Yarrowia lipolytica: one gene and its partner. The protein of the gene in region 1 interacts with the protein of each later gene in a biochemical or structural test. Links are inferred from orthologs where the notes say so. Each region holds a gene or a part of one and is shown on either strand. Other genes may lie near its edges.

What was found.
Region 2: of the proteins of YALI1_C24081g (region 1) and YALI1_E30073g, one has a biochemical effect on the other in vitro, tested with the Schizosaccharomyces pombe proteins (5 studies listed by BioGRID). The link is inferred for Yarrowia lipolytica from reciprocal best matches to the Schizosaccharomyces pombe genes atf1 and sty1.

The regions. Positions count from the first base shown.
Region 1 is NC_090772.1:2,405,849-2,410,217, forward strand, and holds YALI1_C24081g (uncharacterized protein), read right to left. Parts: upstream 2,311-4,369; coding exon 571-2,310; downstream 1-570. Other genes in the region: YALI1_C24016g (uncharacterized protein), read left to right, coding at 1-219.
Region 2 is NC_090774.1:3,005,465-3,009,317, reverse strand, and holds YALI1_E30073g (uncharacterized protein), read left to right. Parts: upstream 1-2,039; coding exon 2,040-3,200; downstream 3,201-3,853. Other genes in the region: YALI1_E30109g (uncharacterized protein), read left to right, coding at 1-349; YALI1_E30074g (uncharacterized protein), read right to left, coding at 1,443-1,691, 1,745-1,858. UniProt on the Schizosaccharomyces pombe protein: Proline-directed serine/threonine-protein kinase involved in a signal transduction pathway that is activated by changes in the osmolarity of the extracellular environment. Controls osmotic regulation of transcription of target genes.

The DNA of each region.
Region 1 (4,369 bases):
ACCGGTAAGGAGAAGGAAGGACACAAGCCTGTGGAGCCAGGAGAGCATCTGGAGCTGCTCCAGGAGTTTCTTGATGGCATTAGGGAGCATGTTGCTGGAGCAGCAGGTTTCTATTCCAGGTTGGAGCAGGCGGAGCTGGAGATGCCCCAGACCGCCAGTAGTGAAGGTAGTGAGCCGAAGACGGCTAAGAAGGGGACGATTGATGAGAGAATTGGGTGAGTGTTGAGTGTGAGCCACTCGCGTCGAACAACTCTCAAATGCATAAAATTACAAGTGCAAGTACTGTACATATTTAATTACATGGTTGGGTTTATCAAGAGATCGGGGTATTGTATGTAGAAGTAGTTGGTGAGGTGGGTAAAGCACCCTGTAGACGCTTGTCTGAATACTGTCGCGTAGCCTACATCTCACTGCTCTTTCAATCAATAAATTACTGTGTATAAATAACCAGACTCAAGTCTAGGGATTGTGGGAGGGATAGTGGTATAGGTAACAGAAGAGTTACTGGCAAACTGTGTGTCCACTCACTGCAATGGTGGTTGCAGTTTCCGCTTGCTAGTTGGACGTTGGTTACATATACAACGGTTGGGGGATACCCTGCTGTCTATCTCCCTCCTCCGGGTTAGGAGGCGGCATCATTCCTCCAGCCTGCATAGCGATGCCCATCATCTGTGTTCCATCCTGCGCACCGCCAACGGGACCATGTTCTATAGGTTGGCCCATCATCATTGGCTGATGGTGGTTGGCGTGGGCGTTCTGCGGGACGTTCTGCATACCATCCAGAGGCATTTGTTGTTGCTGGGGAACCTGCTGAGGCACTTGCTGAGACATTTGCTGAGGCACCTGCTGAGGTGGCATTTGCTGCTGCTGCTGCTGCTGGGGAACTTGCTGTTGAGGAGGAACCTGTTGCTGAGACATCTGCTGCTGGGCCATCTGCTGTTGAGCCATTTGCTGCTGAGCCATCTGTTGTTGGGGGACTTGCTGCTGCGGGACCTGTTGTTGGGGAGGCATCTGTTGGACCTGCTGAACCCCAGGTTGAGGAATTGTAGGGACTTGGGGAATGGGTACAGGAGCAGGAACATTATTAATGACAATGTTTGTGTTCAGCACCTCATCGAGCGTTGCAGCCGGAATTTTGGCTCCATTGCCATTCTTAAAGTCCAAAACGATGCTCTTCAGGCCCTTGACCTGGTCTCTGAGTCGTGCAATCTGCTGGTTCAAGTTGTCGTTTTCACTGGCATAGAACTCCACCTTTGCCTCCAGGTTTGCCAGCCACTGCTTCTTTCGCTGTCGGCACTTGAGAGCAGCCACCCGGTTTCGCTCCAGGAAACATTTTCGTTTTTCCTCCTCGTCCATGGGCTCTCCGTCGGGCCCAGTTTCGGAGGCTGCCATAGCAGCGGCCTCCTCTTCCTCCTGTTTGATTTCTGTCTTTGTCTTCTTTCGCTTCTTAGCGGGTGGCAAAGGTTCCTTTGGCTCGTCAGGGGAAGCCTTGTCCTTTTTCTCTCGTTTCTTTCCTCCCTTTTTGCCCTTGGCAGCTGGAGCAGTGGAGGCAGCAGCAGCAGCAGCCTGGACTCCTTGCGATGGTTGAGGAGGTTGGGCAGCCTGTGCTCCCTGAGGGGGTTGTTGTGAAGGGACTGTCTGAGCCGGGGCGGTCTGAGCAGGAACAGGTTTGGCTTTCTGCTCTTCAGGGGTATCGAGATTGAAGAGCGCAGAGAGGCCCCCTGGGGTAGTTTTGCCGTCCTGTTGGGCTGCAACTGCTGCGGCAGCCGAAATAGGAGTCAGTTGGCCTCCAGGGGTCAGACCTGACCGAATGCCGCTCTCGGCAAAGCTTCTATGTCTGAGGGACGACACGAGTGATGAGAACGCACCTGGAGATTGTGCTCCGGGTGTGCCAGCATTCCATCCGGGGAATCCTGCTGGGGTGCCTCCATTTTGTGGTTTTTGCAGGAAAATTGCTGGCGACAGAGGGCCTGTTTCGAATCCAGAAATGCCCGCAGAAGGGGTGTTGGTGCCAGATCCGCTCTGGGCAATCTCGGAGAGCGGAGGCAGGATCCGGTTGCCTCCCGGGGTGAATACTCTAGCCAGAGGAGTCAGTTTAGGCGACTTGTGGGGGTTGTTGTCCATAGACGCATTTCGGGAGTGCGAGAGTCGAGGAGCTCCATGGCGTTTCTTGTCATCGTCGGGCGCCGCAAACGACTGCTCGAACGGATTGGGTTCAAGGTCAAAGGTCGTTTTGCGAGTGCCAACCGAGTCCTGCGAAGACACTGACGTTTTTCGGGCCGTAGGAGAGGTGGAGTCTGCTTTGGACATGGTGTGACGTGTGTGTGTGTGTGTGTGTGTGTGTACGGCGGCTTTATCTTGGATTCTTTGGGTTCGATTTGTGTTGGGGATGTCGAGGGAGTCCGTGCGCGCCTTGAGTTCGCGTCCTGTCGCGTCCGCTTTTTTTTGGCGTATTAATGAGTGTGCTGAGATAGGCACGTACAGTTGTACTATGGGTTGCGTGATGACGTAGTTCTTCTTGGGACAAGGTGGTTTTGGATTTTAGCTTTTGGGGGGTGAGGGAGTTGGGTTTGGCGGGTACATTTGGGTCCGGTACATTGGGGACCGGTGGGGAAGAGGAGCAGCTGTTTGGGGGCAACTGGAGGCGGGCGTAGGGGAGCTGTGGGGGGGGCGCTCCGGCGGGTCTTGGAACTGTCGAGAGTTGATTCGCAGCTTCCTATTTCGCCCCAGCCCTCTCCAACACCCATCTTATAGCCATCTCGATTCCCCCCACAAGTTTACACACGCTATGACGTAATTTCGGTGGCTTATGTGTTTTCTGCGCCGTCCAGAACCGCTACAATGCGGTTGACGCAAGTTCGAGTACAGTACGAGTATAACTAGAAGTCGTTATTCCATTCAGACACATGTCCTCGACCTCACCTCTGCTCGCAGCATTACTCATAGCTACAGCTACCGCAGCTCGCTCTCTCCAAATGTGGGGGAGGCTTTAACTGGCCCGATTGACACGTGAGAACGGTATGCATCATAATCCCGAGCTATGTATGTTGGTGCAAGGCGTGGCGGTAGGTGATACGGTGGTGATACGGTGGTGATACGGTGGTGATACGGTGGTGATACGATGGTTGTAGGTAATATGAACGGGTCACGTGATGCAACAGGCTCACGTGATGCTGTGCTCGGACCATATCTGTCGTTCGGTGCATGTACATGTTCCCCACGTTAACCTCGGCTATTTTTATTAGTCTCGAAAATAGGGTTCCGAAATTGGAGACGATATTGCATCTTCAGAAACGGGTGGGTATATCTGAGTGGAGTAGCTGACAAATTATGACGAGTCTTTGTACAAGTAGGCAGTTTCGAAAACGTGACTGGCGACCAGTTAATGATTTGGCCAACCATGTCTCCAGAATCATTCCATTTGATGTGGATCTACGAGTCTCTCTTGCCAGTACCAAATATCGGTGGATGTAAGGCACTGAGAACGAGTATGTACATACTAATACAACCATACTGTCCTCGTTCCATGCTCGAGACACATCTACTTGTAGATCGTCCAGTGAATATCAATGCATGTACAGTACAGTATGTACTCGTACAAGACTCGTACAAGACCCCTTATGGATCTTTGACGCTCCAGGGCAGAAAGTCTCGGCTGACAGCTCCCCAAGCCTGACAAGCACAAGTCCGAATTGAAGTCCGGATTGCAGGTCCGAATCGCAGTCCGAATTGCACGAGCAGTATGTAGACTTGTAGGAACCGCTCCAATCACTGGCAGTTACTCCTCGAGATGGACATACTTGTATCGTCGCCCTATGTACTCGTAATGCAAGGGATTCCACCAGACATTCCTGCCACAATGGCAGGGTCCGTGAAAACGCCGACCACTGACAAGATGCCTTGTTCGTCTTGACCACGGACTAACTGGCACAAGCGAGATTAACGTCGTCGGAGACTATTCGGCACACAAGGCCAGACTGTGTGGCACGTCTCATCTCTCGTACCGACCTCTGTCAACAGTCTAACCGATTTTTAATGCTCGATATTACCAATGTTTCTTTGTGTCTTTTAACCAGAACAACCGAGCAGACCCGAACAGGTGCCGAACATGTGAATAGCAGTGCTGGAGCTCCATCAGTAAGCATAATAACACAGCTGCCCAGCGACCTCCGCCCAGCGACCTCTACCCAGCGACCTCGGGCACGTGACTATCTGCTCCGTTCCTCGCGGTCGCTGGCACGCTGGCAAATCTGGGGTCTCCACATTTTCCCCCGGATGTCTTGTTCCGTAGCGTGACTCATGCGGAATGACGTGAATGTAGGAGGGGCTGAGAATGGGGTCCGCAGTTGATAACCGGGGATTATTGGCC
Region 2 (3,853 bases), on another chromosome or scaffold:
CGCCTTTTCTATCGGTATCATCATTGGACCGCTTCAAGCAGGAGCCACCAAGGACAGAAGTGGCTGGGGAATGATGGTCTTGTCTGTCGGACTTGTTTCTGTCATATCAGCAATCCCTACGTTCCTCTTCTCGGGAGGATACCTCTTCTCCAAGGCTAACAAGGGCAAGACGCTCTTCCAGCGAGTTTTCCGGTCGCCCAACGCGTGGGAAAAGGAGGAGAAGGCAGCTCGAGAGGAGGAGCGAAGACGGTTGCGAATGGAAAGGTCTAAGGAGGAAACTGGAGACGGAGGGATAGAGAAGAGTCTGGGTGTGAAGGAGATGGATATGGGAATTGATGACACGACATAGCATACATAATTATTTATACATTGCATGATTAATGATACAGGGGGTGGTGGTTGTGTAGAGCGTACTACTTGTAGTTGTAGTACAGTACAGTAAGTTGTCCATGGTATTTCCTATAGCAAAAAGTTGTGCAAGGACAAAAAAATGACGACATCCGCAGGATTCGAACCTACGCGGGGAAACCCCAAGAGATTTCTAATCTCTCGCCTTAACCGCTCGGCCAGGATGCCTGAATTTTAAAAAATAAAAAGCTCCCGTTACACCACAGGCAACAATTACATCACGTGACCCCCAAGAAAAACCGAGATTAACGGCTTATTGAGAAGTTAAATGATAGGATTTAATAGCAATAAGACAGTAACCTTGTTGTTTAAACAGGGGTTATTTTAAGCAACAGAGTCAACCAAATTGTTCTCATTCGCAGGTATACAGAATCCTGTGATGTTGAATTTGCAGTGTGGGGTTGGTTCATAACAAAACGAGAAAACAATAGAAGCAATAAATGAGATGCAGAGAGTCTATGGAAATGGGTTGATGGCTGACTGGTGAGCGGGTGGAATGTGATTGGTTACTAATATGTGAACTGCTTCTTCTGTCGTACTCCCGTTCTCTCCGACGTCTGAATTCAGATACGACGCCTTCTGACAGCAAATTAGATCCAAACATTGGGTCTATGATGCTGCAAGTCAAGGTGCCAGGTACATGTGATACTCAGATAAGAATATCGCAGTGGGTTTGTTCATATCTGTTGTGGTTTGCGAGTTATACGACGATATCTTTTCAGATGCTATTGTACAATACGAGTGCTCGTACTTGTACGATAGCGACACCATTTCTACGAATGATTCTCGTGTAGTGCTTGTCATTCTCTTTGTGTGGTGGAAAAGAGAACTCTGCGGTCTGCTGTTTGTTGGACTCTAAAAAGCCACCTGTGATTGATGGATGGGTGTGTACGTGTGTGAGGGGAACTACTTGTATGCCGTCTATAGCCGTGTGTGATGGATACTGTGCAGATGGGGGTGTATTTTGCTTGTATTTGTACATAATCGAGTACTTGTACAAGTACTGAGATATTCATTTACAGTATGATCATTCTTCAAGTCAACTGTATCATGTTCCCAAGTTGACAACATAAGCACACCCAATCAACGACAATGCGGCGATAATGAGACATTAAGTGGGGGGATATGAGGAGCGTAAAACGGAGTGATAACGAGCGGGACGGGCTGTGTGTGTAACCATGCTGGCACTCCCGGCTCTCAATTTCAATTCCCCAAGTTCGCCACCTTATATAAGCTGTTCTCTGGTGACCTAGCGTGTGTGCTTGGTTGCTGTGCTGTTCGTTCTTTTTTTGACGTCATGACACGGCACGATTCAACAAAAGAGCCGTGAACGCACAAGGGACGTCGAAAGAAAACAGAAATATGTAACCGGGGCCGAATACCGTGTACCAAAGTCGATAAATGCCCTCACAAGGATCGTAGCCACATTCAGAAGCCCCCCCCCAACCATCTCCGCCAGCCGCGTACCCTGCAGGTTGAAAATTCAAAATTGGTTTGGTGCAGCAAGCACAAGTTAGGTTGGCGATACTCTCGAGACACCACACACACCACACAACTCGCAGCACTACATCACCAAGTGTAGCTCGGACCCCTGTGACTCTCTCTACCGTCTCCCAGGAACAGCGCGTAACATGGCGGACTTTATCCGGACCCAGATCTTCGGCACGTGTTTCGAAATCACGTCGCGATACGTGGATCTCAACCCCGTGGGGATGGGAGCCTTTGGTCTCGTGTGTTCGGCCAAGGACCAGCTCACGGACCAGAACGTGGCCATCAAGAAAATCATGAAGCCGTTCGGCACTCCCGTGCTGTCGAAACGGACGTACCGAGAGCTCAAGCTGCTCAAGCACCTGCGCCACGAAAACCTCATTTGCCTGAGCGACATTTTCATCTCGCCGCTGGAAGACATTTACTTTGTCACCGAGCTGCTGGGCACAGACCTGCACCGTCTGCTCATGACCCGGCCTCTGGAGAAGCAGTTCATTCAGTACTTTCTTTACCAGATTCTGCGAGGCCTGAAGTACGTGCACTCTGCCGGTGTGGTCCATCGAGACCTCAAGCCGTCCAACATCCTCGTCAACGAGAACTGCGACCTGAAAATCTGCGACTTTGGCCTTGCCCGAATCCAGGACACCCAGATGACCGGCTACGTGTCGACCCGGTACTACCGAGCGCCTGAAATCATGCTCACGTGGCAGAAGTACGATGTGGAGGTGGATATTTGGTCCACGGGCTGCATCTTCGCCGAGATGCTGGAGGGCAAGCCCCTGTTCCCCGGCAAGGACCACGTGCACCAGTTCTCCATCATCACCGAGCTGCTGGGCTCGCCCCCAGAAGATGTGATTCACACCATCTGCTCGGAAAACACTTTGAGGTTCGTCAGAACTCTGCCCCGGCGAGAACGAATCCCTCTGGCGTCCAAGTTCCGAAACGCCGACCCCGAGGCCATCGATCTCATGGAGAAAATGCTGGTTTTCGACCCCAAAAAGCGAATAACCGCGGCCGAGGCTCTGGCCCACCCTTACTTGGCACCATACCACGACCCCAGCGACGAGCCTGTAGCCGAGGAACGGTTCGACTGGTCGTTCAATGACGCAGACTTGCCGGTGGACACATGGAAGGTGATGATGTACTCGGAGATTCTCGACTTCCACAATGTGGACATTGACGTCAACGGCCAGCCTCCACAGGGCCAGTTTGAGCAGGTCCATGCCCAGGCACAAGCGGCCGTCGCACAGAACGAGGCTGCCAGGGCTAGGGAACAGGAGCAGCAGCAGCAGGAGCAGCAGTAAACACCCAAACAATGTGGGTCAAAGACGGACAAGGCAATCAGTAATAGGAGGACAGCATGGCTGACGTGATATAAGTGATGTAATTAAGTGTAGGATTATGGAGCAGCGATGTGATGACACGCCATCTTATCGTGAACTAGTTAGGAACATAGCTCGAATTGAACAGATGAGACACTGACGGAGAGAGGGACGATCGTATTGGGGAAGAGGAGTACCAGTTCGTACTGTACTTGTGGTACGTAAAGCCATTTGTGAGATCGCAACTATGGAGTTGCACTGCAGTGGAGCTACAGTATGTACTGCATCTTGACAATCCACTCACAAACAATGTACAATGTTCTGTATCTATATGACACCCACACTACAGGAGGCAGCTTTGGAGGTGGCATGAGAACGCAACATCCCCGAACAAGGCACCCCACCAAGTGGCTGTGAACTTGGAAAGTCGCCATGATATCATTTGATCAAATATCACTGACCAGCAGTTCAGTCCAAAGAACGCATTAATACTTACCATCACCATCTGTTGCAGTTGTTCATCAGAGATGGCAACAGCTGTATGATCCCAGCTTGTAACCCACAGTACGACGACTTCGCGAGAGTTCGACGAATCGAAGAATTGGTACTGTATGTTTTACCGTGGCAACTGCTTT